Drosophila melanogaster: one gene and its partners. The protein of the gene in region 3 interacts with the protein of the main gene of each other region in a pairwise test. Each region holds a gene or a part of one and is shown on either strand. Other genes may lie near its edges.

Region 1 (7,966 bases), on a different chromosome or scaffold from region 3:
TTTTTGTTTTTAGAAATTATTTAAATTATAGAACGTCTTTAGCTAATGCATTTGAAATTCACCCGCAGATCACCGAGCCAGAGCAGCTGCGCAAACTGTTCATCGGCGGACTGGACTACCGCACCACAGATGATGGCCTGAAGGCTCACTTCGAGAAGTGGGGCAACATTGTCGACGTGGTGGTGATGAAGGATCCCAAGACGAAGCGCTCTCGCGGCTTCGGTTTCATCACGTACTCCCAGTCGTACATGATCGACAATGCGCAGAATGCCAGGCCACACAAGATCGATGGACGCACCGTGGAGCCCAAGAGGGCTGTGCCACGCCAGGAGATCGATTCCCCGAATGCGGGAGCCACGGTAAAGAAGCTCTTTGTGGGCGGGCTTCGAGACGATCACGATGAAGAGTGCCTGCGCGAGTACTTCAAGGACTTTGGCCAGATCGTGAGCGTGAACATTGTTTCCGACAAGGACACCGGCAAGAAGCGCGGCTTCGCCTTCATTGAGTTCGATGACTACGATCCCGTTGACAAAATCATCCTTCAGAAGACCCACTCCATCAAGAACAAGACCCTGGACGTGAAGAAGGCTATTGCCAAGCAGGATATGGATCGACAGGGCGGAGGTGGCGGACGCGGAGGTCCTCGAGCTGGCGGTCGCGGTGGTCAGGGTGACCGCGGCCAGGGAGGCGGTGGCTGGGGAGGCCAGAACAGACAGAACGGTGGGGGCAACTGGGGCGGAGCTGGCGGCGGCGGAGGATTCGGCAACAGCGGCGGTAACTTTGGAGGCGGTCAGGGCGGCGGCTCTGGCGGTTGGAATCAGCAAGGCGGAAGCGGAGGTGGTCCATGGAATAACCAGGGTGGCGGCAACGGCGGCTGGAACGGTGGTGGTGGCGGCGGCTACGGCGGCGGAAACAGCAATGGCAGCTGGGGCGGTAACGGTGGTGGAGGTGGTGGTGGCGGTGGCTTCGGAAATGAATACCAGCAGAGCTACGGCGGCGGTCCACAGCGCAACAGCAACTTTGGCAACAACCGTCCAGCTCCTTACAGTCAAGGAGGTGGTGGTGGAGGATTCAACAAGGGTATGTTGGGTTATTAAGTGATTTGACCATAATGTACATAATGTACTTAAACCATGCATTTATTTTTTACAGGTAACCAGGGTGGAGGTCAAGGCTTTGCTGGCAACAACTACAACACCGGAGGTGGTGGCCAGGGTGGAAATATGGGAGGCGGCAATAGACGTTACTAGACAAGGTAAATATAGATAACCTGGACGACAGGTCCTATCCCATCGTACAATCTCAAACGCTCGGATCTTTGGTCGTTATTGGCAGCTAGTTGGTAGCCTAGCCATGCAATCAAACTCATTTCGGAACGATTCGAAGCTAATGCAAAATTTTCTCCTCTTTCGCAACTAGGTAAACACACATAGAGAGAGAGAGTGTGTCAGTTCAAGCTAGACGACAAACAGGCAGTCTAGGCAGGCAGATGCAGAGGGACAAGCACATTCACAGGCAGGCAATCAGTAGCATGTGTGTGTCAGACCAGGCAGACAAGATCAGAACCAAGAAATCAAGATGCAGAACCAAGAACCAGGCCGTGCGCAAATGCAAACGATAAATCAATCAATCAGGTTTGGGTCCGGCCGCAACCTGCAGGCTATAGCCATAATCCACTTGTCAAAAGCACCAAGCAAATGATTATGCGTCAAGCAAAACAGCCAAAAGCGAAACGAAACGAAATCCAATCGACGCCACTTGTCCACAGTTTGAATGCTGCTATCTCTCTTTTGTAACCATTAATAATTCGCTGATCGATTTATGTTTAGGGTCCTAAGAACCCCGAACGCTTAGTTTTAACCATAAACAAACAAAAGAAACAAACACAACAAAATATAAATTAAACAATAATTTTATTGTACAAAATTGACTACCAACTGAGCGGCGACGGATTCTCCTTGAGATTCAGTCGTTGTAAGGGTGTTATAAGGTAGAGCACTTTCTTTATATTTATTCATGATTTTATTGTTTTTAGCGATCCAGCGAAATGTAAGAAATCAAATAGTACCATATTTTGTAATCACTTTTTTTGTACAACTAAGAACCTTTATGATTTGTGGCAAGTAAGATCCCAACTCCTGAAATGCGAATGCCACGCACATTTGTGTACAGGCTGCACAGTGGCCGAGAAATGGTGTCCTAGCGAGCAAAATCCATATATGCATACCAACTCTGTTAGTCCCTAAGAAGTAGATGCTACGTTAAGCCAGACTAAAAAGAAAAACGCTAAACAAATATCACAAACATTCTGTAATTAGTTCGTTACGAGTGAAACGAAAGCGACAAAGAGATACAAGCAAAATAAAATCCTAACCAATGTTACCTACCCACCCAAAATGAAACGAAACGAAATAATCACAGGAGCAATGCCCTAGCAAAGAGGAGCAGCAACTGCAGCAAAATCCGGGTTTTCCGATCCATCCCAGATCGGCAGGGTAGCGGGCAGGGCTAATTACCGTCACTAGAGACCCCCACCACCTAACCCCCGGGCAAACCGCCGCATACTAATGCACTGACTATTTCTTTGCAAGACTGGCCGGGCTACGGACGGAAGCTCCCTCCCGGGTCCGTATACGAAATCTGGGCTGCTCCACGCACCGGTTCGTTTCCACCAGGTATTAGTTAATGGTTTTAGACCGCAAAGCAAGCGGTGGCCCAGGAAGAACTCACTGGTGGACTTTGGTTGGTGGCTCCCTTCTGGCTAACTTGGTGGGTACAGCGGAGGTAAGTGAAGGTAACTAGTCGGTATTCTACTAACACCTCATTTGTTTCTGAATTTTTCAATAAAGTACAACTTTTACTAGCAAGAACAAGAGCTGTATTTTATTTTCTGGGGGCGATATTTTATAGGGTTACGTATAAGGGTTTAGGCCCTATCGATTTATTGGCCTATTTGTATCCAATAATGCTGAATCATCTAAAAGTGACAAGAACTTTCACTACCAAGAACAATTTGTTCTATGAATACCATAAATGTTCAGTGGATTATAGCCGGTTTTCGAAGGACCTAGCTTTCTGGATTGTATTACGAACTAAATTCTTATGAGATCAATGGGGTTTTTCTTCTAATAATGCATAAGTAGGGTTTTTTGCTAGGACTACGAAGCAAAAGAGGCGATATTATAGGGATTTATAGGGTTACGCTTTAAGGATTCAAACCCTATCGATTTATTGGCCCATTTGCATCCAATAATGCTGAATCATCTAAATGTGGCAACAATATTTTTGGACCTTTTTCGATAGTCCATAACTATAGACGTTTGGATTTTCTTGCCTGTCATTCAATTTGTGGTTGGCTTCACCTGAGTGCTGTAGTAAATCAGGCTATTTTAATTTTGACATCTCTTCGAAAATGGATGCGGGAAATTGTGCCTCGTCGGCCTGCCTTGGAGATGTAAGCTCATAATCCCCCAAACTATTCATAATTATCAACGAAAGTCGTTGTGTGTGTGCAGTGCAAAGGCGACGGAAAGACGGCCATTAAGGAAGAAGGCTACGAGCATTTGCGCAAGATCTTCATTGGCGGCCTATCCACTCAGACGACCGTGGAAACGCTGCGCGGATTCTTTAGTCAGTTCGGTATCGTGGCCGATGCGGTGGTCTTGCGGGATCCGGTGAGCAACCATTCTAGGGGCTTTGGCTTCGTCACCTATGTGGATCCCAAGTCCGTGGAAATTGTCCAAAGGGCACGTCCCCACACCATTGATAATAAGTGAGTAGTTCTCTAATAATCTTTCGCTGCCCTAATTCTATAAAAAGTTGATTAATTAATTTAGAATTGTGGAGACCAAGCACGCACTGCCACGTCAAGATTTCAAAAGGGGTGGCGGCGTTGGTTCCGTTGTCGGAAGTTTTGGCTGTGAAGCCGGTTTCATGAACTCGAAAAGGATCTTTCTGGGCGGCTTGAAGGAATACCACGATGAGAATATCGTACGCGAATACTTTTCGCAGTTTGGCCCTGTGGCCAGCGTGAAATTGCTCATGGACAGGGAGACCGGACGTCAGCGGGCATTTGGCTTCCTCGAGTTCGTGGATCCATCCAGTGCCGAGAAGGCATTGGGTAAGTTTCCATGTTTCTCATTTATTGAAAGTCATCGTGCATTTTTTTCAACTACCTTTAAGTATGATATAGATTAAAATCTGATGATAACGCTGCTTGCTTTGATTTTCAGCACCGCGCAAGCACTGGATTCTTCAGACATTGGTGGAGGTGAAGAGATCCACCCAGAAGGCCGACAGGCGTTTTCGGTTCCCCATATTTAGCTCGGTTCGAGCCGGCTACATTCCGCCCCAGCCGGCCACTGCTGATAGCTACAATTACAACAATCCCAACTACAATCCCTATCTGGCCCAATCCGTCCTGCCGCCATCGGCATTCACTAACGGCTGGGCCCACTATGTAATTCCGATGGCACCCAAGCCAACACCCGGACAGAACATGGCTGCTTCGTTGCCGTCACAGCAGCTGGCAGAGCACTCGCTCAACGGACACGGTCCGGACATGTGGTCCTCCTATCCGAAGACCGGTATCTACTCGGCCCAGGAGTGGACTTCCAGCAAAGTGGCCGAATGGGGACCGAAGGCCGGGCACAAACATGCCCAGACATCGACCAACGATCGTGCCAAAATCGATTTGAAAGAACTCCAGGCAGCTACTTTCAATAACAAGCTGGATTTCGGCGCCCGTGGCGACGCGGATCGCATGTCGGGAGCTGGCTTGGGATTGGGTTTGACTGGCGGTGCCGCCGTGGGAGTTGGAGCTATTAAGAAGTGGCCCACCCAGGACTATAAGGTCTTCAAGCCAGCTAAATCTCCGACCAACGGAGTGATTCCGAAGATCGGCAAAGAGGCTACAACACCACCCTACGGTTCATTTTTTTCCTTAAAATTTAATTTAAATTTAAATTTAATTTAAGAAAGAGAAAAGAATCTAAAGTATCTTTTTATTCTTGCAGGTATCTAAGTGGCGGACGATGGAACGCAGTTAAACCCAATTTACTGCCACAGTTTAATGCTATTACTACAATAATTTGCAGGCGATTCCGTTCAAGATATTTAATAAATAATAAAGCATACGGGTCCTTTTGAGACTTAAAATCGTAAACTCTTGTTCTTTATTTATACTATTTCTGTTGGTTTTTTTTTTATGTTTGTTTCCATTTAAAGTATTGCATGTATTGCATGAGTGAATTGATTTTTCGCAAATGTTTTATATCTGAAACGCTATAAAACGCACCAATGAATTGTGACTGGAATTTTGTGGGCTGGCTTCTTCGACTGGCTTGTTATTAATTAAAATTATGCAAATTGCTATCGATTGCTCGGCTTTGTGCGCATCAATTTCATTTAAATGCTGAATGCTCAGTAGTTCTTCAGTTGTTTCAACACAAAGGCAAATGGGAATTGGATTCAGTCGCTGGATAAGTAAAGTCGCCTTGATAAGTAAAATTACATATCCTTGTGAGTTTTTCCTTTCAGATTTCTAAATCTACGACTTGGTGTTTCTTTTAAACGCATTTACCAGAAAAGGAAATACGAACCGATCCAAAACAAATGTGTGTGTGTGTTTTTTTTTTTTTTTTTGAAATGAAACAAAATCATAAGTTTTCTGGTAAACACGCTGAATCTTTGTGATTGGTTTTTATTATTATAGTTATTTTGTAGTTGTACACATATAAATTAAATTATAATTAAGTGTTTCCCTCCTTTTCTCTGTACTCTTTACAAACTGCAGTATTGTGATTTCATCGGTTTACTTAGAAATGAGCATGAACTCTAATTGTTTGTTTTTCGTTTACTCTTACATCGATTTAGTTAGTACCTCTGATTTGTATTGTATTGTTTGATGCTGTTTTCATGTTTCTTATTTTTTTTTTTGTTTGTTTATTATTTCTATGATGTTGTTGCTGGCCACGGAGCACTTTCAGCACTGATCGTTGAGCTAAGGTTTGAACACTAACACTTTCGTTTTACAAAAAATGCACTAAAATTGCTTTAGACCCTGTTCACAGTGCTAGAAATGCGTGGTGTTATATAGAAATAGTTGTGGAAATTGCGATTGTAATTGATTTAGCAATTGATTCTCTAGGGCAGGCGTCGAACAACAAAAACAAATGATATGTTCCCAACGAATTAAAAGTCCTTAAGCTTTAACAAAACAAGAATAACTTGGGCAATTATATATATTTGGACGCCTGCGACAAAACTCAAATGATGCTCACACGAATTTAATGTTTTCAGTTTCCTAATCGCTTTTCTGCCTTATTTTTATTTTGCAGCAGCAGTTATATAAATATATATATATATATATTTATGTATATTTAGATTTCTGGTAAGTCTAAAAGTTAACATTAAATTATATGAGTTTTTGTTTTGTTTATATATATTTTGTATATATTTGTTGTTACATGTTTTGCTTGTTTTACCTTGAGAAAAATGTTAGTAGCTTGTGTCTCGTCCCCCAACTATTTATTATAATAGGTTCTTGTGTGTTTATATGCTTCACATCTTCTCTACTCATTTCGTTTCATTCTTTTTTTGGGCTTTTCTTGATTTTATTTAAAAAATATGTACTAAATTTTAGTTCACAACTGCGTTGGAAACACCAAATCGTTTAAGTTGCTTGACTTAGTTTGGTTTACGACCTTGAACTTATTACACAGAACGAATAAAAGAAAAGCGAAAACACTGACCGTCCGTCCGTCCGTTTATTCCTGACCATCGATTGCATCGAACACGCACCCACCTGCGGCGCCGGCACCGCATTTGCCCTCATCACACGCTCTCATCTCCACACTCTTCCGATCCAAACCGATTCGAAGCGAACCGAACCGTTTCGAACCGATACGATACCTATATAGACTAGCTAGTCTGCAAATTAGATTTAAGTAGCAAAAGGTTTACAGGCTCTAAAATGCGGCGGACTTTCTTTCTGGGGCGCTAAACGTCGACGTCGATGTGTGTTTGTGTTTTCCTCGCTTTTCCTCCTTGCGGCTTGGTGCTCAATTGATTTTCCTTTCATTTTCAATGTTTTTTTAAAGAGGTTTGTGTTCTTGTGTGCTTGCTTTGCTTATCGTGATCTTATTTTTGCTTGTTTTTAACCGCGCCTTACATTTTTCTCGTGTTTACATTCCATTTTTTTTTTTAGTTTTTAAATTAATTTTTTCAAGTCTTTCTTTTGCTCTTTTTTATTGCATTTTACAAAGGTTTTTCATTTTTTTTTCTGTTTTTTTTTTTCTCTTTTACTTCTCTTTATATCTTTTTAGCTAAGTGTGTAAGTTTTCCCTTTTAATTATTTTTTTGTTTTTAGCTTAAGTAATGGTGTTATTCAATGAAAAAACAAACAAAAATGTGTTGCATTGCTCCTTTCCTTCGTATCAAACCAATTTCTTGCATCTTGCGTACTTAAGATAGATTTTAGTTGAAGGTTAATGCCAAACAAAAGCTGAAACTAAAGTTTACATTTATGCTAAAATGGGTGAGTGTATGTATCTTGTGTTGGCTTTTGTGTGCGATCGTGTGTTTTGCGATGAGTGTTTTGTGGGTGTGCTTGGTTGAGACTTAAATTTAATACACGTGTTTCAAGGTGAAGTTGATTCCGTGAGTGGGTGGTGGGTGGTAGAGAGTAGCAGTTGCCGAGCTGAAGCTTACATTCTTTTAGTTTTTGGATTCACAACGAAGATTTGCACAGAATTTCGGTATATTTTGGCACGAACTGGCTGGAAAAAGCGAGCCTAACGCAATTAAACTAAGAAGGGACTCAGGACCGTTGACGCAACTCTTTACATCCTATCTTTCTTTCCTTCTTTTTTGTTTGTAGTTCGACGCCCCGAGAGTTGCGCTCAGGAACATTTAAAGGACAGTTGACGTTTTATGTTGCTCCAACTACTTTATCTTAGTGTATGAG
Region 2 (8,699 bases), 4.2 Mb from region 3:
GATTGAAGTCCTGCCTGACCTTCTCCGGGAAGTAGTCTCCGGGTGCGGGCGTTTCGCTGGGCTTATGCAGGTCATGGCGACCGGCGAAGGAGAAGGCGGGATTGTGATCTAGCCTAACTTTCTCGGGATGGTAATCCCCGGGAGCTGGAGTGTCATGGGTTACCTTTGGATCATGCTTGCCGGCCATTGTAAAAGCAGGATTATGGTCCTGCCTAACTTTCTCGGGGGAGTAAGCTCCGGGGGCAGGAGTCTCATTGGGCTTGTGGAGATCATGACGGCCGGCAAAGGAAAATGCGGGAACATGATCTTGCCTAACCTTTTCAGGGTGATAATCTCCTGGTGCCGGTGTATTGTTCTCCACCTTGGGATCATTCTTGCCCCCAAATGTAAAAGCTGGAGTGTGATCTAAGCGAACCTTTTCGGGACAGTAGTCACCAGGAGCTGGGGTGCCATTGGTAATCTTCTCAATGTATTTACCAGCCATTGAGAATGCGGGATTGTGATCTTGCCTCACCTTCTCCGGTGAGTATGCTCCTGGAGCAGGAGTGTCGCTGGGCTTATGAAGATCGTGACGACCGGCGAAGGAGAAGGCGGGATTGTGATCTTGTCTAACTTTCTCGGGATGATAGTCACCTGGAGCTGGGGTATCGTTTTCTACTTTAGGATTGTTTTTACCAGCAAAGGTAAAGGATGGTGTGTAATCTAGACGGACCTTTTCGGGACTGTAGTCGCCAGGGGCAGGAGTATCATTGGAAACCTTAGGGTCATGCTTTCCGGCCATTGTGAAGGCAGGATTATGATCCTGTCTGACTTTTTCAGGAGAATAGGCTCCAGGTGCTGGAGTGTCGCTAGGTTTTTGAAGATTATGACGGCCAGCGAAAGAGAATGCTGGGTTATGATCTTGCCTAACTTTCTCGGGATGATAATCACCTGGAGCTGGGGTGTTGCTCTCAACTTTGGGATCGTTCTTTCCCCCAAAAGTATAGGCAGGTGTGTGATCTAGACGCACCTTTTCCGGACTGTAATCGCCCGGAGCTGGAGTGTCGTTGGCTACCTTTTGGGTGTACTTACCCGCCATTGAGAAGGCAGGATTATGATCCTGACGGACCTTTTCCGGACAATAGGCACCAGGGGCGGGAGTATCATTCGGTTTGTGAAGATCATGACGACCAGCAAAGGAGAAAGCTGGATTATGATCTTGCCTGACCTTTTCGGGATGATAATCCCCAGGAGCGGGAGTATTGTTCTCTACTTTCGGATCGTTTTTGCCACCGAAAGTGTAGGCTGGAGTATGATTTAAGCGTACTTTCTCCGGGCTGTAGTCTCCGGGAGCGGGAGTACCATTAGTTAGCTTTTCAACTGGCTTGCCTGCCATTGAAAATGCTGGGTTATGATCTTGACGTACCTTCTCGGGAGAGTAGGCTCCTGGAGCAGGAGTATCACTTGGCTTTTGAAGGTCGTGACGACCGGCAAAGGAGTACGCTGGATTGTGGTCCAACCTCACCTTCTCCGGATGGTAATCTCCTGGTGCCGGAGTGTTATTCTCTACTTTAGGATCATTCTTTCCCCCAAAACTGTAAGCAGGTGTGTGGTCTAATCTGCACTTTTCGGGACTATAGTCTCCTGGTGCCGGAGTGCCATTTAAAATCTTCTGATCGTGCTTGCCAGCCATCGTGAAAGCTGGATTGTGATCTAATCTCACTTTCTCCGGCGAGTAAGCACCTGGAGCGGGAGTCTCGCTTGGCTTGTGGAGATCATGGCGGCCAGCAAAGGAGTACGCTGGATTAGTATCTTGCCTAACTTTCTCGGGGCTATAATCACCAGGAGCAGGTGTATCGTTGGTAACCTTGGCATCATACTTGCCGGCCATTGAGAAAGCTGGATTGTGGTCCAGTCTCACTTTCTCCGGGAAGTAGGCTCCAGGAGCGGGAGTGTTGTCTGGTTTCTGAAGGTCGTGACGACCGGCAAACGAATATGCGGGATTGTGATCCTGCCTAACTTTTTCGGGATGATAATCACCCGGGGCCGGAGTGTTATTCTCTACTTTAGGATCACTCTTAACGCCAAAACTGTAGGCGGGAGTGTGATCCAAGCGGACCTTCTCGGGACAATAGTCCCCAGGAGCCGGGCTATCGCTGGTCACCTTTTGACTGTGTTTCCCGGCCATCGAGAAGGCAGGATTGTGATCTTGTCGCACCTTCTCCGGGGAGTAGGCGCCCGGAGCGGGTGTTTCACTGGGTTTGTGCAGATCGTGGCGCCCGGCAAAGGAGAAGGCCGGATTGTGATCTTGCCGGACTTTCTCGGTGTCGTAGGCTCCCGGTGCTGGTGTGTCGCTTGGCTTGTGCAGATCGTGGCGACCGGCGAATGAGAAAGCGGGATTGTGATCGTGCCGCACTTTTTCGGGACAGTAGTCGCCCGGTGCCGGAGTGGAGCTCTCGAGTCGCTGCTCGTGCTTACCGCCGAAGGTGAAGGCCGGCGTTCGATCGTTGCGATACTTTTCCGGGGCATACGAACCGGGCGCCGGAGTCTCGCTCACGGACCTCGTCTCTGGGCGTCCGGACAGGGTGAATGCGGGCGTGTGGTCCAGCCGCACCTTCTCCGGATTGTAGGTGCCCGGCGCTGGCGTGTCACTCGACTTGGCCAGCTCGGCACGGTGGCCAAAGCTGAAGGCAGGCGTCCTGCTCAGGACGCACTTCTCGGGTTCGTATGCTCCGGGTGCTGCAAGAGATTGGGTGAAGATAAGGTGTAAAAAGAGTTGGGTTTTGGTGTGCGGGTCGCACGCTAAGACTAAGATCCATTGAAATGCGATTCTAGAACTCACCAGGTGTGCAATCGACCACGTCCTGCGAAGCCTTTCCGGCGATTGAGTAAGCGGGTGCGGAGTGCAACCTTGACTTTTCGGGGCTGTAGGCACCGGGTGCTGGTCATAAGGACATAAAAGTGTGCGCTATAAGCCAAGTTACTACAGCCCAGCTGAGCGGGAAGCCTTACCTGGAGTATCGCTGACCTGGATGTGTTTGGTCTTCAAGCCAAAGCTGTAGGCGGGAATGTGTTCGAGGACAACCTGCTCGGGCTTGTAGGTGCCTGGCGCTAATGAAAGTGTCGTCGTGGTGAAAGCATCAAGCAGCTATATTAACGTGGCTCAAACCTACAAGGCATACTGTTTACAAACCTGGAGTGTAATCTGGTCGCTGTTCATGGTGCTTGATGCCGAAACTGAACTCTGGCGTCTTGTTGAGCTTCACCTTCTCTGGACAATATGCGCCAGGAGCTGCGGATGGGATGGGATATCAGTATTAAGTTGGCCAAAAGTCACGGGAATAGAAAAGGAAAGCGCTATAGATACTGTCCAATTGGGTACGCTTGAGCAAGTGGTGCCTCGATTGGGGTAGATACGGATACAATTACAGATGCAGATACAGTTACTTGGGGGGGAGGCTGGGATTTATTACCTGGTGTGCCCTGATCGTGTTCGATTTTAGTTCGTCTACCGAAAGTGTAGCGTGGCGCATTCTTTTTTGATTGCGTGACCTTTTCAGGGCAATAGCTATTCGGAGCTGTTAGTGTTAATAAAACATTCGATTTTTAGTCTACTCGAATCAAAACTAAAGGTCTACACTAGGTGAGCTACGACTAAGTGTGGGTGAATTACAAATAGATAGATATGTATATACGGATAGAAAGATACATTATTTCGGGAATTAGTGATGAGTTGGGGATTAATTGATCGGGTTAGAAGTTAGAGAGCGGAGCTAGACCAACACCAACACTAAAACGCAACGTGGACGAAGTTTGGACAGTTAGTTGGGTTACCTGGATTGTTAACCAAATACACGTTAACCTTAATGCGAAAGGAGTAGCGTGGGGCTCGCCGCTTGACGACATCAAGTGGCACCACTTGATAATAGTTGGGACCTGAGTCTCGATTTTGCCACGGCAATCATTCATTGAAAGAGAAAAACGTTTCAAATTAAAATCAAATCAGGCAACATAACAAAAAAAAAGAGGTCACACAAATTACTGAACCACTAAAGTAACACATATACAAAGAACACTGTGTAGCTAGGAAATAATAAATGAGAATTAGAGAATATGTATAATCTTAAATAGAAATATTTATGAGAAATTAAGACATCTGATCTCCGTTTCCGTTTGACTCATAAATAAAAATAACTGAGCCAAGTTGTAGACAATCTTTCACAAAATAGATGACCGTATAAAGACATTGCCAATTCCTCCTACGTAAATTTGTAGCTTTTTTTTAGGGAAACAAAGAAAGTTTAGAGAACGAGATATGAACAAATCGAATAAATAATAATAATGCCCAACATTATAATTAAATACTTTTTAATTAATGTACCAAAAATAATAGAATAGAATAAGCCAAATCATTCACGCACATTACGAGGTGACATAACTACGATTCAATCTCAAGGATACCCAAAGATACAGCAGAATAATCTACGAAATGTGGCTACGACTACACTAGCTACTGAGATAGAGATAGAAAGTGGGAGAAAGTGGAAGAAAGGGGCGGTAGCAACTTACGCGCTGCTTGCAGTAAGGATGCAACTGGCATGGATTCGGATTAGTTAATGAGTACGCTTCTATGTACAATGATGATCCATGATTGAAATTGATTGATGATCTCCTCAGTCCGCGCATGCAACCAAAAAAAAAAAAAAAAACAGCACCAGCCCGCAACAAACACCGAATTCAACGCCAAATTCAAAGTCAATTTTCAGATCCAACTCCAAAATCCAACATCAGGTCCAAAAACACCATTCAAACACCAGTGGAAGAAGACCGAGACTCACCTGGTATCTGGAAGGTTTTCAACGCGACCGGCCGTTGGCCAAAAGTGTATTTGGGCGTGGCATCGATCACCGCCTTGGCCGCCGGCACCACATCGTATTCCCCAGGTCCGGGATTCGAGAAGCGTGTTAGTTCCTTGGGTCTGCTCTGCAGAGTGGCTGCTCGAGGATAATCCCGACCCTTGGCTCGCATACCCGTAACATTGTACTGCGCCGGACCCGGTCCGGAGGTGTCATACTTTCCGCCCAACTTGTGGCCAAAGGAGTACGAGGGTGCGGCCTTCTTCTTGGAGTCGGGAACTTTGCTGCCTAAATGTGGGATTTTCAATAAGTTATATTTGCAGGAACATTAAACCAATCTTAAGCTTACCTATCAAGGTTGGAAGTTGGACAGTGGCTGGACCCGGATTGGTGGTCTCGGCGGCGATCTTGCCGATCCTAACAGTTGGAGTCCAAGGACGCTGCTCCACGTTGCCGCCCATGTTAATTGGACGAATCTTACGCACGCGGGCGCAGGGTCCCTGATCCTTGTTCTTGTTTTTGAACTCGACCTAAAAAGGGGAAAACAAACAACAATATTAAGAAATCCATTAGTTATTTAGATCTTCAAGAAACCACCTTGTTCATCTTGCTGTTTTTAGGCTTAGTAGTATCGAAGTCTGAAAATTGTGCCCCAATGTAAAAAAAAAAAGTTAAAGACCAAATTTACTGAACTCCCTTCGCTGACATTTACACGTGTGAGTGGGTGATAGGCTGACTACTGAAATCTATACTTCGACCCCCAAACTTGGGTAACCTAATAATCCAAATTTCGTCCTACTCCAACAGCCAAGTCGATGACACAAAAATCAATCGTCTGGCATTTGTTTCGAACTTTCTGGGCCAATTCCGATGGGGCGGCTAATAACCAGGCGTGTAGCTCCACATATTCATACCATCCATGGGCGAATGGATTCAGTGGATGGGGGCGTGTCGTGTGGCGGCTGTCACTCTTTTTCTTCTCCTTCTTCTGCAGTGGCTGTTGCTCGGCATTTGTTGCAGGTTCCTTCTGTTCGAGCCGCGAATTTGTTGCGCCGCACGAAATACAAACAATGGCAATAACTTTGCGGTAGGCTCGTAATTCTTGGGCGTCAGTGGCAGGCACAAAAGTTGCAGGGGTTTGCAGTGCAACCAAAATAAAGTTAAGAAACTTAAATTACAGTCTTATTATGTCTTTGCCTTTCAGTTGTATTTGATTTTGAATAGAGAGCAATAATTTATATATGTAATCGAAGTTTGTAAAGGTGCCTAAATATATCTAGCATATATTGAGCTTCACCCTTTAAATTGAATTTCCCTATAAAAAGGGAACAATAAAATACGAAGAGAAAACCAAATGAATTTTAATGCAGTTACCACGGTAGACAATTTTATTATACATATGATTACCACTAAGTCGTAACAAAAGAAGTGCACAATAAAAGTGTTTCCAGCTAGTTAGGAGCTAGACAAAATGAATATTTTAATGAGAGGCCCCCCTCAACAACATTCGTATTCCCCAAAACCTGCTGCTGCCCTGGGTGACGACCTTCTTTTCACAGCTCAGCACACGGGACACCAAGTGTTGCCCATCGACAGGCGGGCAGACATCGGAAAACAGACCGGTACCAGCTGGTATCAGGAGTTCCAACCACGCTCCACCTTACCAACTTTCCACCTTTCCACCTTTTTAGCGCCAGGAACCAGGCATTTGGGCATGTAATCGATATGGGGCTGGATTTGGATACGGATACGAATTCGACGGGCGCCGAGATTTGGGGTCTGGTCAACAAGGTTGTGTCCCGAATCGAAGCGAAACGAAACGAAACGAAGGGGAGTATGCTAAGTGCTAATGCTGCCCATTTTGTGGGGCATGTAAGCCAACAAAACGATTACTTTTAATGACTTATGGCCGACAATTGCATGAACCAAAACAAAAACAAACCCAGGACCCAAAAGAAATGCGAAGCGTGCCACTTCTTTTGGCCGTGAAAATTCGCCAGCCTGTGTAAATAATTACAAACAATGTTAGGGGGCGTGGCCTGGCTGTTAACAGGGCCAATAAAGCCGTCGTTCTGCTGCCAAGAAAGGCTTCACTTTTCCCGCCAGCCGCACTTGTTACTTGCTACATATGACTCCTGACCTCGCATGCAATTCACATATACATATGTATGTATTTATGTACAAAAAACAATGTTCTCTTCGCAAGGCAGGCAGTCATCAGGCGGTCTTATAAGGCGACTCTTACATCACCATCATGAGGTTGGAAAGCCCACACACCGTACCGCCTGTTCAATTGCTGTTCGAGGCCAAGATCAGCGAAGAAAACTGAAAATCTAACGATGAATCAGAGCCGGCAGCTGAGCCAACAAACTCAGACATCTGTCAGACAAAGAGTCTTGGCCACCCACCCACATTGCTCGCATTGAAGGAAATCTGTCTTAATATGCACATATGGCATCGAAAAGAGATCAATTAAAAATCTAAAAATATATTAAGCTTAATTGTGAAAGAAAATTGTGATTGAATAATAGTCATCTTATACATAAAAGCATAACTGTCAAGATTTTGGAAGCATATAGTAGAACAGAAAATTTCAAAACATAAGATATTGCATTTGATTGTCACGCTTTTTTCTATAAACCATTAAAAAAGGGGTTCAAAATACAAAATCATGTATGCCTTATATATGACTTTAATTTATCAGCCAAGTTATTGCCACCACCAAATAGTGTGTGCTATTTTTCCGAGTGCAACTTCAATTGAATAATGTTTGGTTCGCCCGTTCAGGAGGTCGCATTTAATCACGTTAATAGAGCGTTGGCTCATGCAATCAATTTGCATGTGGCGATCAGATTTCAGTAATCAAATTATAGATGGTGATGCTCGATAATCTATGCACGGGGGTCAGTGTATAAACCGGCTAAACTATATAGTTTATTAAAATCGCCCCCACACACTCGACTTTCGATCTCTCTTTCTCGCTATAAATATTTGCTTGCATTTTGTGAATAACAAAAACTGGCATTCATTATTAGTTACAGAGAGTTTCAGCAAATATTTTAGCATTATCTCTGTGACCTTCGGTGATTTGTTTATGATGATGTGTTTCTGTTTGATTTAAATTGATATTCTCACAGTTGACCCGATGACTCTGCACCCGTGACGAAAACAACGCGTCAGCTTTAATTTGTGATTTTCACTCTAAAAATATAAATAAAAGCTGTAGGTAGCCTCAGCCATAAAACTGAAATACCCTGTAAGTGAAGTTGTGTTTACTAATCTGTTTTGATTGAATATAATAGCATAGGTTCGAAATAAGTGAAAGAATGCCTAATATAGATTCCTTAACATGGAAATAATGTTTCAAATTGTATAAATATTTCAACAGTTTTTAATCACATAATCATTTTTAATCATCGATGGACCATGTATCGATATACCCCCCTTATTTACTAATTGTGAGGTATCTGTATCTCTGACATGATCAACAATCATCTCAACTCAGTGAAAACGTTTTTATGTTCTTTCGACTTCATTTCACGCTCTCCAAAACTGCGAATTAAATATGAGCTCATTCCCAAAATTTAGACAATTTCCAGGCGGCCAACTTGGGGGCTTTTACGCCCAAATACGGCGGCCGACGTTTCCTTTAGCCCACATTGAGTTGTCCGAAAAAGCCAGTTCGGAATTGGGTTTCCAGACGGCAGATCGACCCACGCAGAAACTCCATGACTCCGCGATATATAGACATACAGCCAAATAGCCATAATTCGTGTGCTGTCTCTATTAACTATTGCCTCTTTTTTTTTGTAAAAGTTTAATTAACGCCGAACAAGTTGAGCAATTCCTTTCCAAAAACAGAAA
Region 3 (6,937 bases):
ATACTTGTTACTGGATTGGCATTCGCAGTTATAATAACGAACATCAATCTTTGCGTACTGACAATCGCCCATTATATCTTAAAATGGCTGATATGCCAAACAACAATATTTTTAATGGTGAAAATTGTGTTGGTATTCAAAACGGTTTTATGCATGACCTTTGGTGCAATTTAAGCTATTACTCTATTTGCACAACTAGTTGGTTTTAAAATCGTTGGCAACAAATGTAGAATGCGATTGCTTGTTCAATAAAATATTATTAATTTCCAATGCGCATATCTAAGAATTTCATTTTCAGTGTAAGCAAGTCCATCAAAGGGAGGGCCAAATCATGAAAAGGACAAATGAAGTGAAATTTAAATGATTGCATACTCGGAGGCGTTTGTTGAACCACTTATTTTCACCTAATTGCACACTCGAGTGGACAGACGATGCTTTTTCCACTTGGTTGACTGGCCAAAAATGCGGGGCTGGGAAGTTCCACAAGTGGGGGCGTGGTCACTTACTGTTACGCAACAAAGTCACAAAAATATTTGCCAAGCATTTTACGTCCAACATTTTATCCGTCCGATTTTTTGGATGGCCCTTTCCCTCGGAAATGTTTACCCAATTTTTGGATGTGCCAGTAAATGGAAAAGTGAAAAATCGTTTATGAATTTCGTGGGCTTTTGTTTTGATTGCGACAATACGTGAGAAGCAATTATACGGCGGCACATGAAAGTGAGATCCGGAAATTGGCTTGAGTTTATGTACATGTATACGCATAAGAAGACCTTGGTTTTCCTGGAGTTCTGGGCGTGCAAACCGCAGGCATTAAAGGGACAACTTTGTGCTCCCTTCAACTTTTGCCTCATTTTTGTTTCTTTCGCTGGTTAATTTTTGCGCCTCGCGAAAAGAAACAAATTTTCATGCAAATGGAAATGGAAAATGCAAATTAACAAGTTCCTTAATGGCCTTGTGGGCGTAAGGGGGAGTGGCGGTTGCTGGTGTACACCTATGGCTGTAAAACTGTGAGCTGATTTCAATTAAAAGTTGAGAGGAACGCAAGCGTCAGTGCTTCTAAAACTATTGTGCATAAGAAACCGTTTTAATTTACAATATAGAGTTCAAAAATGTAAAAATATGTAAATTCTTTTTTTAATAATATTTTTAAAAATATTTAAATTATTGAATATGCTAAGCACATTGCCTAATTGTAAAAATATTCGACAACATTTTCGTAGTTACGCTGCAAGATTTCAAGAGTTTAGCAAAACTGTCAAGTCATCCCTCACCTCTGGCAGCATTTTGCCTTTCCGTCTTCAGTTTTACAACTCTATCAATCATCAACTTGCAGCGAGTGCCTGAAAACGGTAGCTCAATAAAATGTTCTTGAAAATGTTCGAAAAACATCTCAGCCCAACCCCGAAAACACTTTTCAGATACGAGTATTGCCATGACATGTCGACAAAAGCAATGATTCCTTTTGGGTAACCCATTTCTGCACCAACCGATTTTCCAACTTTCCCGATTTTCTTGCCAACTCTTGCTGCGTTACGCGATTTCCCAGCCACACTTGCATGTCATGACATGAGCAGGAAATGCGTTTTCTGACGCCGCTGCTAAAGAAGCCTCGTAAAGGTGGTATGCACTGAAGAAAAATGCATACAATCAATTTTTTCATAAATCCTTTATACACATTTCAACGTACATGTTGTTATTCTGTATAAAACCGATATTTTTTTTTTCAAAATTTTAAATCCCTTTAAAAATAATAATTACAATAATTTGGACTTTTGTGCGAAGCTGAATTTTGCAAATACTTTCATTTGATTTCTCTCAGTAAACGGGTTGCGAAATTTCGGATAGCTGCTTTTCCTGGTTTCTTGGTTAGGCTTACGGTTACGGTTTTTTGGCTATGCCGTGTGCCTGGTTCCGTTTCTTGTGCACCAAGCGGAGCGCCATAAATATTTAAATTGTGCGACGCCGCCGCCACCGCTTAAAACCACCAGAACCACCATCCCCCCAACCACATCCCCATCCATTTGCAACACCCCTTTTGCCACGCCCCCTTATGCGCCTGTCTTGCATGTTGCTTGCCGGCTTATTTTTTGACAGTTATCGATTCGAGGGCGCTGCCTCAGTTTCAGCTGCAGATTCAGATCCAGATTCAACTCCCGATTCCAAGCCCCAATTTTCTGATTTTGATTCTTCACTCGGGGACAGAGACATTTTATCTTGCCAGGACTCAATTCATTTCCTAAAATATGCACAAGGAGTTAAAAAATACATGTGGAAAAAGCGGAGGCTTCAAAGATGACGCACTTAATACACTTTTTCGAGTAAATTCGCTTGAGAAATTTTCTTTTTCTTCAGAGGTCTTGAAAATTTACATTATTTTTTATCCCCAAAGTGAATTGGCTACGTTTAAACTATCGTTTTTGCTATGGACAGTGATTTCATTACAGCCAGTTGGGATTTCCTTTTAATGGCTATAATAACTAAAGTGAGTGACTGTCATGCGGCCTGCCACGCCCCACCAACGCAGCGCGCCCACAAAAGCTCAGTCGATATGTTGCGCGTTATGCGGCACTCATTTCCTTCCTTCTTTTGCGTCAGTTGAAAACTTTGCCCGAAACTCGTTTGCCACTTTGTGCATGTTTAACTTTTTAGGGCAAGCACCCTTAACCCTTAAGCCGTAACCCTTAACCCCAGTTCCTTGATCGAAGTGACAATTCAAAGAGCGAATGAAATGCGAAATGCAGCACGAACCACTCAATTAAGTACAGCCAAAAAGGCTGCCGCTCTCCTGGTTGTCAAATCGAATATTCCGAATTTTATTTGATCAAGTGATTGAGATTCAGAGAGTCCCGAGAGACTTTTCTTGATTGACCGTCAGAAATTACCATGTTTTTCTATCCATACATTTAATATTTACCCACGTCGCCCCTCGAGGCAAAATCGTGTCTGCAAACTTTGCATAATAGACGTGCAAATGTTTGCCAAATATTTGCCGGCTAAGGAAAATGTGTAAAGAATTATTGGGAATTTTTCGGGGCTGAAAATTGGATAAATATTTGTGGCTTGACAACATTTTCTCAAGCTAAAGTTTGTTTTCACTAGAGTTAAGGAATTTAATCGCATTTAACCAAATACAAATATTTGCACGTTGGTTCATTTCCTTTCTTCGTGACAACGAAATACTTTATTTCTTTTTAAAACTTTAAACAAGTATTTACATGACTATATGTAAGTTAAGGAGAAATCCCCGGAAAAAACCAAACATGACTCATTAAAGAAACGAGGAAAATCTATTGATATGCAGGCTCAAATTTGAATTGAAAAGCTTATTCGAAAAAAGCTTTACCATTTGCCAATTTTCAGTTTATTTATCGATAACTTTGCTCTAGAAGCAATACTTTCGTCAATAGAAATAATTAAGAGTACCTACCTACCTATTCGCTATCAGCAAATGCTGATATTGAGCTTTTTTATGACGGCAAATATTTTGGCGTTTGTTTGGTTAGTCAGTCCCATGAGTTGGGCATTCGCTTAATTCAGTTACCAGCGATAAGTCGACACATTTGGACGGACTTTCTACAGAAGATTAGTGCACCACTATGCCACCACCACCCCACGATCATTGCGGCGGACCGCCTCATCGTCGTGGACCCGTGATTAAGGTACAGATTGCACCACCATGGCCACGCCGCCATCACCGCCCACCACCCCAAGTTGTGGTGGTGCAGCAGCAGGCTCCGCCACCGCCACCAGTCATGGTGGTGCAACAGGCGCCTCCGCCACCGTACTACCAAAATCCACCACCACCACCACCGCCCGGCAGCAGCCACTACCACAATCCACAGTATTGAGAAGGAACTTTGATCTGTAAAATCCTTCACAATGAATTTATACCACGTAGCCTTACTTAACAACTATATGTCCTCAATAAAGTATAACCTTATAAACTAAGTTTTAGTTTATAGTTTTTAGTTTTTTTGCATATTTGTCATGAGTAATGGTTGAGTTTCAATCGAGTTGATTCCATCACACACACTCCCTCTTTTTATTATCAAAATCTCTAATCCGTGTTTTTTTTTTTTAAGTCTTTATCGGAACACCTGGTTAATTTAGACGGCAATCACTTGTTGTTTTGTTAATGTCTAGCAAAACTTTAATTCATTTTCACCAATGCTCTGTCAATGCTTCTATGCTCCTATATCAGAAATAATAACGCGTTACCCATAGATAAGCCGGAATCAGTTAATATAGTAAACAAAATGCGAGTAAAATAGCGAAACCCGATCACCTGTAAATGCACAACTGTCCGGTCGCTGTTATCAGACCTTGTCGAATGACTAAGCCATCTTATCTTTGCCTCTAACCACTGGAATAATTCCCACAAACCCTGATTGATGGAGCTTCGCAGTTCCAGTTTGTTTCGAGCTAGACGTGTTGTGCCACGGACTTTCCAGTATTCAACGCGTTGCTGGGTGGTGAAGTTGGTTCGGTTGGCTGGTTGATTATTTGGCTAGTTAATCAACTATGCGGTACTATGAAGATCCATGTGGCTATCCTCCTCGCCATCACCATGGTCGTCCAAATATCGAAATTGATGTGGTTCCCGGTTGGGGTGGCGGCTACTATCCGCCGCCGCCTCCGCCTCGGCCCGCCGAGGTAGTCTACATGACCCCGGCGGCTACCTATGTGCCCGGCACACAGGTGATAATGCCGCAACCCTACGGCGGCGTCACGGTGGCCACCACCAATGGATACTATCCGCAGCAGCAGCAGCAGGCGTACGAGTATCAGTACCAGTATCAGCAGCCCTACAACAATCCACCGTATCCGCAGTGGTGAACGAGGTCGGAATGGAAACGAAGCCATCACCACTAACAAAAAAAAAATATACTATCGATGGAGTGAAGGAAGGGATAGATAACAAGAAATCAAAACAAATATCACTTTGTCCTAATCTTAAGTTGAAATGACAACGCAAATGGTGCAATGGTCTTGACATTACGCACCACAAAGTTAACAAGTTAATAACCAGAGGAAGGTACAAAAAAACAAAACTGGAATTTAACTTTAACCGTTTCAAAGAAAATATAATTGTGCTATATAACCTTAAAACGAAATAAATAAAATATCTTGCTCTTCAAAAAACCTACCCGTCTTTAATTCTAAAAATATTCTAAATACTGCATTATCGATTTTATTTATGTTTATGTAATTTAGTGTGAGTCATCAATCAGAAGCATGGAATTAAGTCCTTCCTCTTAAATATAAAATTGTGATTCATGGAAACCTTGAACTCTCCTCATGAAATTCAATTCGGAATTTCGTATTTATCAAATGGCACTTATCAATTTTATTTTTTTTTTATCGAAAAAAACACATTTATTCCACCTGACAAGATAACCAACTAAGCTACTGTGCAAAACGCACATAACAAAATTAGGAAAAAAAATTCCCCCTCATTAGCGATAAAAATTGACTTAAATAGTTAAGCAGGCGAAGAAGCAAGTTCAGTTCGAGAAAGCAGTCAAAGGCATTCACTTCACCCACTAAGGATACAATACTTGGATAGTTTCTGAAGAAAATGCCGTACTACGAGGAGGAACGTCGTCATCACCATCATCACCATCACGGTGGAAGGCCAATTGTAGAGGTGGACATTGTGCCGCCAAGGATTCCTCGACCAGTGATTGAGATCGGAGTGGGCGGCCGGTATCCACCACCACCGCCCAGGGTGGAGGTCATCACACCAGCTGCCGTCTACCAGCCGCCACCACCACGACCCATTATCGAGGTGGATGTGGTGCCACCAAGAGCTCCCTTCATCGAGTTCAACATCGGCGGTCGGCGTCCACCTCCCAGGGAAGAGGTCATCATCGTTCAGCAGCCCCCACCGCCCAGGTGGTAGGCGTGGTCTCCATATGACCGTCGTTCAACAACGAAGTAAAAAACTTTAAAAATATTTATTAAACTTCATGTATTTCTGCAAATAGAAACTATAAACTAACTTTTTACAAAACCTAAGCTCTTGTATAATAAAAATAAAAAATAAATAAACAGTTCACTCCTTCATGTTTGAATTTCGTGTTTATACTACTATATACTATAGTATACTATATATTACGCACATATTTCTTCATGTAAGCTGACATTTTAATTTGCCTCAATCTTATTGCCAATGCAATTGTAAATCCGCTCGAAATATTTGCTTAAATAACTTAAATGCACTTTACCTTAATTGAAATATACTTGATTGGTTTTCAATGTCGGTTCTTGCTGTGACACATTTTCATATTGCGAATATATATGCCTGCATTTATTTGCAATGTTAATGGTACAAATATGAAAATTGAACTGCAGGCGAACGACATAAACAATGGTCATGGTCATGATTCCTTTTCCACTCTCTATTTTCCGTACGGGTAATTGCTTTCGTGGATTTTTTGTGGTTTTTGTATATATTATTTGGCTTCGGTTTTGCTATCTGACTGGTGGGAAATGATTGATGTCCTCTGGTCGTAGCCAGCTTATCAATTATTGTACAACTAGTGCTGTCAGTACATAAACATATTTTAAGCTTTATTATAACGAAAACTGGGCAATAGTTTTCTCAATTTAAATGGCGTAATAAATATAAAAGATCTTGCTGGACTCAAAGTAAAATTTGAATTATGATTTTATATGAAAAGTTATACCATTCTTGCCGTATTTAAATAAGAATTGCATATCCAACTATGGCTTAAAATGTATATGTATACAAATGAAAAATATTTTTCATGATAAGAGTTCGGGAATTGATATCTAAAAAAGAATTAATTACTCATGAAGAGAAGAGTCAAGATAATTATTTTTGGATTCTTAAACTATCGAGAATAGCAAGTAAAAATGTATCCTAAAAAACCACTTAAGAAGAGGTCTATGATGAGTCACTCTAGAATGA
Region 4 (8,579 bases), on a different chromosome or scaffold from region 3:
TTCTCGGCTGCTGGCAGAATCGACAAGATCTCAGATCGGCGGGGAAAGAGTCAACCGGTGTTAGACATGTTGTTCACTTTCTTTTTCACTTCACCTCGGACCCAATAAGAAATGCTTTTTCTCCTGTCTGTCTGTCTTTCTCGCTTTGAAATGCGAAGAGTTGGTACAGCAGATTGAAAGACACTTTGATCAACTCAAAATTCAGTGTTTAGGGAGCTTCAACCATCCTCTTGACCACTTGTTTGATTTGTCTTTCGAAGGGGTCTCATTAATCATGTGTCCAATGAGCCGGAGCTTTGCATTGTTTGATCCCACCTGAAGCTAATTACGCACCATAGCATTTGTTGGTCGAAGGGCAGGGCGGAGGAAGCGGCTAAAAAATGGATATTTCAAATCGCGCATACGCCCCGCCTGCCAAGTGAAAGATACTGAGATGTGAACGAGAGGAAAAAAGTCGTCAACAGGCGACGTTTTCGAAATTATTCAACTCTCTCTCTCTTCGCTTGCCCCTTAAACATCATTTTGAAAGAATTCCAAAACCCAATGGAGAGTGAAAGCAGCCGGCAAAATGTGCGAGTTTCGTTTGGTCTGGTCTTTCGCCGGAGCCCCCAAATAAAAAATCCGAACAGCTCCCAAAGATCATTGACTGTTGCTGTATCTGTGTAATTTTCATATCTCTGAACTTTCGTATCCGTGTGATTTTGTCACCTGTGTGTGTGTGTGTGTGATTGCGCTGTGCCAGTTTGTGTACCACACTTGCTGCGTGTTTTCATTTTTGGGCTTGGCCCGATCGGCAATCAAAGTAGTGAACTCGTTTTTTAGTCGCCCTAGACTTATTGAATGTCTGGTTAATGGCTAAGGGGAATTCATCGGATACGTGTGTGCGTGCATATGGTGTACATTTAACACACATTTGCGATTTGTTAGTGACTGCTAGTTTGTGTTGTTTAAACTAATATTCTTATGAGACCGAATATAATATTTTAGTTGAAATGGTAGAAATCTGGTGCAGCCCAATTTCCAAGAATTATTATTTTGTCTACAAATATTCATAAATTTCCTTTTACATATCAACTGCATTCTTGCACAACTCTATTCTCAGCCGTGCCGTGCCAGCCGGTTAGTTCATCGACATATTTGGACAGACAAAAAATGTACAATATGTACATATACTATAAGCTCCTTCTTAATCAGCCGATATGCGATATCGTATTCATGGATATCTTTTCTGCTTATCATGGAGTTCATTTCGCAATGTGATCAGCGATTTATGAGCACGCCGCCAAATGGAAAAGAAAACGGAAGACTAAAGACACAATCGTGTCGCAGCAGCGGCTGCAACTGCAGCAAGCAGCTGCAGGTTGCAACTTACATAAAGCAAGTGCCAGAAGTAACAAAAGTCAAAATGAAGAAAAAGCGGAGAAAAGACTACAAACAAGTGGAAAACCAGTCACGAAATTGCCGGCCAGGAGTTTTTGTGCAATTGACTAAGTATCTCTCCATTTTTCGGGCTTGAGTTTCTGTTGTCTCATGTGTTTTTATTTTACCACTTGCGTAAAGTAAATGTTATACCCGTATACTTGTAGAGTAAAATGGTATGCTAGATTCGTTGAATATATATTGTTCTATATGTATATATATTCTTGATCAGGATCAATGGCCGAGTCGATCTGGCCCTTTTCGTCTGTCCGTTCGTATGTAAGTCGAGATCTTAGCAACTATAAAAGCTTAAAGAGGTTAAGATTAGGCATACAGATTCTAGGAACATAGACGCAGCGCCAACAAACCACGCCCATTCTAACGCCCACAAGCTACCTACTTTGAAAATTGTTGTGCTATTTTTTCATATTGTTATGTCTTGTAAATTCCTATCGATTTGCCAAAAACTTTTTGCCACGCCCACTCCAACGCCCACACTTGTGAGAATGTTTTGATCGTTTATCTATTTTGCACTCCATCTCGTAGTCCTCCAAGCTGATCAACGGGTATCTGGTAGTCGAGGAACTTCTCTCGATGTTGCTACTATTCTGGGTCACTACAAATCAGCTCCTGGGCATCTTCTTTCGCTATTTCAATGATGTGACATGTTTTTGCTGTTTTCGCTTTCATATAACGCGGATTGAAAGCTCTTTTTAAAGCACTTTACTTAAGAGCAGACGCGGTGCTTGCGTTGCGCGCCAAAAAGTAATCAAAATGTTTAAGTCCAAACTCAAATGGTAGCCGCTTCTTTTTTCGGGTTATTTTATATGGCCTATAATTTCGGAATATATTTTTTGTAGCCTTTTGTTTATGGATCTGCTGCCTTTCTTGTGGGCTGCTGCCGCCGTTAAGCATTCGCATTGCATCGGTTACACGCCTTTCCAGTTTACAAAACGTACTCTCTGCCATTTTTTCTTTGCCATCCCAGAAACACGAATGCAGTTATATAACAGCAATAGGCTAAAATATCCATGAAAAGCCCGAGCCGAAAAAAGATTCTCCAGTCACGTCTTTCTCGGCAATGAACAAAACGCATTTTTTCAATCCAACCCAAGGCAACAGCATTGAAAAAACTTGCTAATGAATAATGGAGAGTAATGGGAAACTACTTTTTATTCAACTGAGATTGGTATATAAAATTTATAAAGGTGCATAATATAATTGGTAAAAATAAATAAGTTAACTATACTTATGTTATACTCAATATTCTTTATTTTATACTCAATTTTTCTTTATCACATCTCAATGTCTTAGATGTAATGAAATACGTACATACATATGTACTATATTCACAATGATGAAATAAACAGAACTATATACGTATGTAGATTTCTTGGCGGGCTAACTATGTATTTTCCCCACGTTCTCGTTATTTCTTTAATCATTTTCTTCCCCGATTTTCCACCTGATTTTTCGCCCTGAAATCACTCTCAATTTTGTTCGCCTGTCGCAGCATTCCGGCGTGACGTCAGCAAATTGTTCCTTTTGTCTGCAGCTGCAGGTGAAGAGCAGATTGAAATTGAAATTGATTATAATTTAACGGCGGTCACCAGGTTGAATATGCTGGCAGAAAGTTCAATATTCGAAAGTTCGTTGTTGTTGCTGCGCCTGCGCACACTCATTACCGTTTGTTGTTGATTGTCGGCACTTCTTTAAGCGCAGATTTACGCTAACAGGTTGTAAAACTGTCCGAACAGTGATGCCCCGGTGGTATTTTTTGAGTTTTCCAGCCAAATCGGGCTATGCAAGAAATTCAACTCTAATGTTACGCGGAGGTCTTCGGTGGAAGGTGCATACGGTACGTACAAATATACATACACACATATGTACATACATACATATGTACAACAAGTGTAGCTACTTCTTTTGGGGCCTCCATCACCGACATCGACTGCAACAACAGTATGGTGGCATACCAAAAGTTAAAGGCTCCGCTTTGCCAGCTTTTCGGCCAGCGACGTCGACTGAGAAATGCGGCGGTTGAAAGCGCGCGAAGCGATCAACTTGGTTTCAGTTAGAAACGAACGCGCCGCCGAGAAACTCGCAAGCGCATGCTCGCTGTCTTGCGCTCTCCTTCTGCTTTCGTCTGTCTTCGAGTAACGGTACCGTGTGTGAATCGCCAATTAACCGATCGCTTTATTGCCTACTTCGATATTTTATCGCCGCATGTATTTTTTTTGCAGTTGTGTGTTGAAGTGAAATGGAATTTGTTGAATTTTAATTGCACGCAGCACGCTGCCGGCGAAAACAACAGCAAAATTAGCGGGCTGATTTCATTCAACCTGAGATAAAGCAACAATAATAGCGCACAACACATCGCAAAGGCGCAGCAGGAGAAAATAGCTGATAAATAGACAATAATAAATAAATATTACACACAAAGGCCAGGGACGCCGCTTTAATTAGAGTAAGTTTGCACAGATAAACTAAAAATAAAAGACTGACGAATGCTTGAAAAACAGAAAACCGTTTTAAAAACATACGCAGACAACTTGGCACAGAAAGAGTCTCTAGAGCACTTGAGAAATCACACAAAATCAACTAATTGCCCAGAGTAACTTATTCAGATAAACATGTTCTCTGAAATCTACAGATGGTTTAAGTGGAAGATGTCTAATTTGTGTTAACAATAACAACAGTTGTTTGAAATGCTAATCTTCGTCAAAGTTATTTTGACAAATTGCGTAACTTACGTAAGGGTGATAAGCAAGGCTTACGTAAGCTTTCAGTTCTGCAGTTCTACAGTAATTCTAGGAATTTAAATGTTGCCTTTGAATACATATCTGCTAAGCGCAACCTTTTCTACATTTTCGAGATGTTTTCGCATTCTAATGGCTCTAAAACGAATAGCTGACCAGCGTACATTAAGTGCTTCGAAGTCTCGAGGCAAAGTCATTAAAAGAAAGACCTAACAAGCTTCCGTCCTAAGGTTGTCAAATTGTTGCCCCTGTACCCAGCAATCCAGCAAAAACGCCTCATAAATACTTTATATTCCGCGGAATAAATCCTCTTAGCAATTGTTTCATTCGGGCTGACCAGCAAGCAAAAAAAAAATAATAAAAATAAAATTAATATGTATAAAAGAGCGAAGGCAGTTGACAAGACTTTATCAAGGAAACTGCACTCGTTTTAAAAAATTTGTCGTGGATTGCAGCCCAAATTCGATGGGAACTGAATTTGTACTTGAGTCTCAATCAAAAGTTAGTCTGTATTGTTTTTATTTTATTTCAAATCAATGATGAGTCGGAAATATAAATTTTAAAAATAATTTTTTTTATTTTTTTTTTTTATATAAAATATAAATTTTTTTATGGGGGCAATAACGTAATTTCTTTCCAAAAATTATACCTGTTACTCGTAGAGTAAGACGGTATACTATTGTAGATTTGTTGAAAAGTATGTAACAGGTACGTAACAGGTATGTAACAGGTAGAATGAAGCGTTTCCGACCATATAAATTATATATATTCTTGATCAGGATCAATAGCCGAGTCGATTTGGCTTTGTCCGTCTTTCCGTATGAACGTCGAAATCGCAGGAACTACAGGATGCGGCAGCATAATTACCTTTTTTACGAACTCAATGAAAACTTTTGTAGGCATCGAAAGATATTTGTTTATTTTTATAATGTAGGTACATGTCTAAAGTTTTTATTTATTTATTTTTTTTTAAATGAAATCTGATAGGTGACATTCCCCATTCTCCATATATTGCGTAAACCGATTTCTGGCGTTTTGTCGTGACTCTTGTTTGTTAGCATAGCAGGTGTTAAGTTGTCAATTTCTTCTTGGATGTTGGTTTTTAAATCTTGTAGGGTTCTTGGACGGTTCACATAAACACGGGATTTCAAGAAACCCCATAGAAAAAAATCACAAGGGTACAGATCGGCTTCATCACTAAAATATAAACAATAGCATCCTCGGGAATGACATCAAGAAGAATCGTTCATCCGAGAATTGAAGTCACGTTCTGAAAGTTCCTGCACTATCGCCATCTTATACGGATAAAATTGAAGATCATCATGAACAATTCTTCTCACAGAACGCCGTGGCGATCCCAATGTTCTCAGGTGATCTAACGGGTCGAGGGACTCCAGTTCTGCGTCTCGTCGCACTTGCACTTTGCCTGAATGTAGTGACCCATGTGACAATTGATTTGCGGTCTGGGACGTTAGCCAACGGGGCTAAATTAAAGCTATTCCGAAATGCACGCTGTGTTTTAATAACCGAACATCCACTTGAAAAGTAGACCTCAACGGCAAAGGCACGCTCCTCACTATTCCAACGCATATCTGCCGATATATCCCAGAAAAATTATGAAATTTTGCATTCGCATTTCCACTAGCTGATTGATGAGAATTTCAATAATTGCATTATCAATCGACTGTAATGCCAGTGATCGTATCGTATCTTCGAACCCGATTGAGCAGCGGTAGGTTTCGATAAAGGGTCTTGAAACTCGCATTTGCAAATACGTTACACGCTGCATAATGGCTTGATACATTTATGGACACTCATATGGAGTTGTACTCTTAGTTTCATAATCATAGTCGGGACGGTTACACTCACCACTCCACTCCATTCTCCGCCCTCAGCACGCGTACTTATGCGATAATTGCAGGAAATGCAGCGCACACCACACACCAAATGTTGCATGCAGCGAAAGTTTTTCCTTGAAATGCGCATATTATAAATAATAATAAATGCGAAACGAAACGAAAAAATTGCAAAGAGACCAAAAAAGCCGCGCTGCCCACTGGCTAATTGAAAGTGAAAGGGGGAACCAGACGCACAGTGCACAGGCAGAAAATGTGTAGAGCGTCTTATATGTATGTCAACTACTGATTATTGAACTGGGACATCCTAACTTTTTATTTAGCAAAAACAAAAAGATATTATGAGTTCGTGCTCTGAAATTATTATAGAGTTATCGTTATTAGAGTTATTACTATAATATGATATACAATATATTGTTGTACTTTTCATAAAGCTAAATAGCAGTTCAAAATTTTTGCACTATTTCTTTGAAACCTCCAACCTTGGAAAATCGACAGTTCCATCTAATGATATGCCCGGCCCACCACTTCATTTCCTCGCGATCGGGCAAGTGTTTGGTTTCGTTTCGATTCATTTTGATTGCCGCCGCGATATGTATGTCTGGTGTTTTGTGGCCCCTTTTTTGAATTTCATAAGCTCGGCCATAAATTGGCCTGTTATCCAGTTAACCAGTTGGCCTGTTGGCCATCCGCTATTAGCCGCGTGCGTTGCACTCGTTTTCGAGTGTTCGTGGCAAGTGCGTAAGTCACTTTGCAGCCAGCAGCCACTTTCCGCAGACACGCCGCTTGATCTCTTTCCGTTCGTGCAATTATTTTCGTATGAAGTCATTTCAAATGTTAATTCCAGCGGCGGCAAACGGCGACGACCTTGCCGCCTTAATTGTCCGCAGATTGGGGAGCGGAGACCGTAGATCATGGGGGCTGTGTCCCCGGGGGGATCGGGTTGTGAGACTGTGAATGCGAATTCGATTGCGTGCAACGTTTGTTTTTTAAACCAGATTAGGCAGGCACGTCGCGAGCTAACCAAATGCGATATATGCAATACATTGCGCTACGCCTTGCCAAGTTGCACCCAAAGTCGGAGTCTTATATTATTTCCACATTTTTCATGAAGGTATTTATTAATTCAACTATTGAAAACCTTAAATATATAAAAGAGAACACTTCAAGAAATAATTAACATACAACATCGCCAAATCCTCAATATGGTATCAAACATCAAACCAAAATCATCCTAACAGCTACATTTTTTTAAGTGTAAAAAAATGTCGATCTCACGAAGAGACCAAATAAAAACAAGAGAGAATGCTATAGTCGAATGACTATAGAATGCTATATAGTTCCCCGACTATCAGATACCCCTTACTCGGTTAGTGTTAATGCGAATTTCATCATTTGCGAAATTTCATCATTTTTCTGGTCGGAAACGCTTCCTTCTGCCTGTTGCATACTTTAGAACGAATCTAGTATTTACGAATTGTATTAATTCAAAAATCGGCCAGTAAATCCAATTTATTTTTTAAATCGTGGAATCATGCAGGCGATTATCAACAATGGTCAATATATCTTCCAATTTAATTCCTATTCTCAATGAAACATTTTTTCAAAAAGAATTCTCGTTTATCGTCAGTGTTATTGATGAGTGTAACTTTCTCTTCGCAATTGTTTAAATTAACATGAATAAAGCCAATGCCTACGTTTATAGTAGGTAAGACTATAGTCGGTAAGACTGATCCATGCAATTAAATAGATATCTTCTTTACTTATGTAACATGACGAGCTTTCATCATTACGCAAATTGGAAATTAATTGTCCACAAAAACTTAATTAAAGCTTAAGGGCAAACATGTGTAAAAGATCCAATCAAACGACCAAAGCCCGAAATCTTAAAACAGTGAAACACCGCTGTTGTCGCTTATGATGTTATATCCAGTTTTCAGAGCGTTTAAGGAAACGCAAACCAATTATGAATACCTTAAAAAATTGTGAATTGCGCGAAGCTGATTCTAGATTAATATTCCTCTCCAATTAGAAGACAAGTTAATGATTTCGAACGGATTATTTTTTATTTAGCTTTAAATCATCTACAAAACAAATATGTACACACACTTCTTTGTCATTGGAAATGAACTCCCCTAACAAATACGCCTAAAAACATCAAACATAAAATATTAAGTATACGCAAAGCTGACATTGGCCACAATTAACAGTCAGTTACTACATTCCATCGAGAAACAAACAAAAACGAAAAGAAACGAAACATTGCAGGCTGACCACAATTTTGAAGGCTGCTCTTAACCCATTGTTGGCCAACATCCGAATCTTAATGTAAAGAAAACAAAGCCGAATAGGTTAACAATGCAAAATTGTCATTTGGCCAGCGATTGTCAACTTTCCGATCGTGTGACTTAAATACTTTGACATTTGAACCTTTGTCTGCAAATGCAGCCCATTGACTAGCAATCAGATTTTCCTCGAAGTTGCAACCATCATCAGCATGATCATAATTATTCTCATTCCAATTCATTTGTCTGTCCGAATTCCT

What was found.
Region 1: the proteins of CG15422 (region 3) and Rbp4 interact in a two-hybrid assay, tested with the Drosophila melanogaster proteins (one large-scale study listed by BioGRID).
Region 2: the proteins of CG15422 (region 3) and CG8086 interact in a two-hybrid assay, tested with the Drosophila melanogaster proteins (one large-scale study listed by BioGRID).
Region 4: the proteins of CG15422 (region 3) and CG17600 interact in a two-hybrid assay, tested with the Drosophila melanogaster proteins (one large-scale study listed by BioGRID).

Annotation. Positions count from the first base shown.
Region 1 is NT_033777.3:13,651,751-13,659,716, reverse strand, and holds Rbp4 (RNA-binding protein 4), read left to right. Parts: upstream 1-3,322; 5' UTR 3,323-3,412; coding exon 3,413-3,454; intron 3,455-3,515; coding exon 3,516-3,772; intron 3,773-3,836; coding exon 3,837-4,120; intron 4,121-4,232; coding exon 4,233-4,928; intron 4,929-5,015; coding exon 5,016-5,023; 3' UTR 5,024-5,161; downstream 5,162-7,966. Other genes in the region: Hrb87F (heterogeneous nuclear ribonucleoprotein at 87F), read left to right, coding at 69-1,080, 1,153-1,250.
Region 2 is NT_033779.5:8,247,411-8,256,109, forward strand, and holds the start of CG8086 (uncharacterized protein), read right to left. Parts: upstream 5,557-8,699; 5' UTR 5,442-5,556; coding exon 5,433-5,441; intron 5,366-5,432; coding exon 5,185-5,365; intron 5,124-5,184; coding exon 4,818-5,123; intron 3,916-4,817; coding exon 3,814-3,915; intron 3,558-3,813; coding exon 3,453-3,557; intron 3,272-3,452; coding exon 3,173-3,271; intron 3,091-3,172; coding exon 2,992-3,090; intron 2,921-2,991; coding exon 2,822-2,920; intron 2,719-2,821; coding exon 1-2,718.
Region 3 is NT_033779.5:4,000,532-4,007,468, forward strand, and holds CG15422 (uncharacterized protein), read left to right. Parts: upstream 1-4,452; 5' UTR 4,453-4,524; coding exon 4,525-4,839; 3' UTR 4,840-5,139; downstream 5,140-6,937. Other genes in the region: CG43797 (uncharacterized protein), read left to right, coding at 1-209; CG34176 (uncharacterized protein), read left to right, coding at 3,600-3,851; CG15423 (uncharacterized protein), read left to right, coding at 5,582-5,905.
Region 4 is NC_004354.4:22,511,708-22,520,286, forward strand, and holds the start of CG17600 (uncharacterized protein), read left to right. Parts: upstream 1-3,489; 5' UTR 3,490-3,581; exon of another isoform or gene 3,582-3,662; 5' UTR 3,663-3,886; intron 3,887-8,579.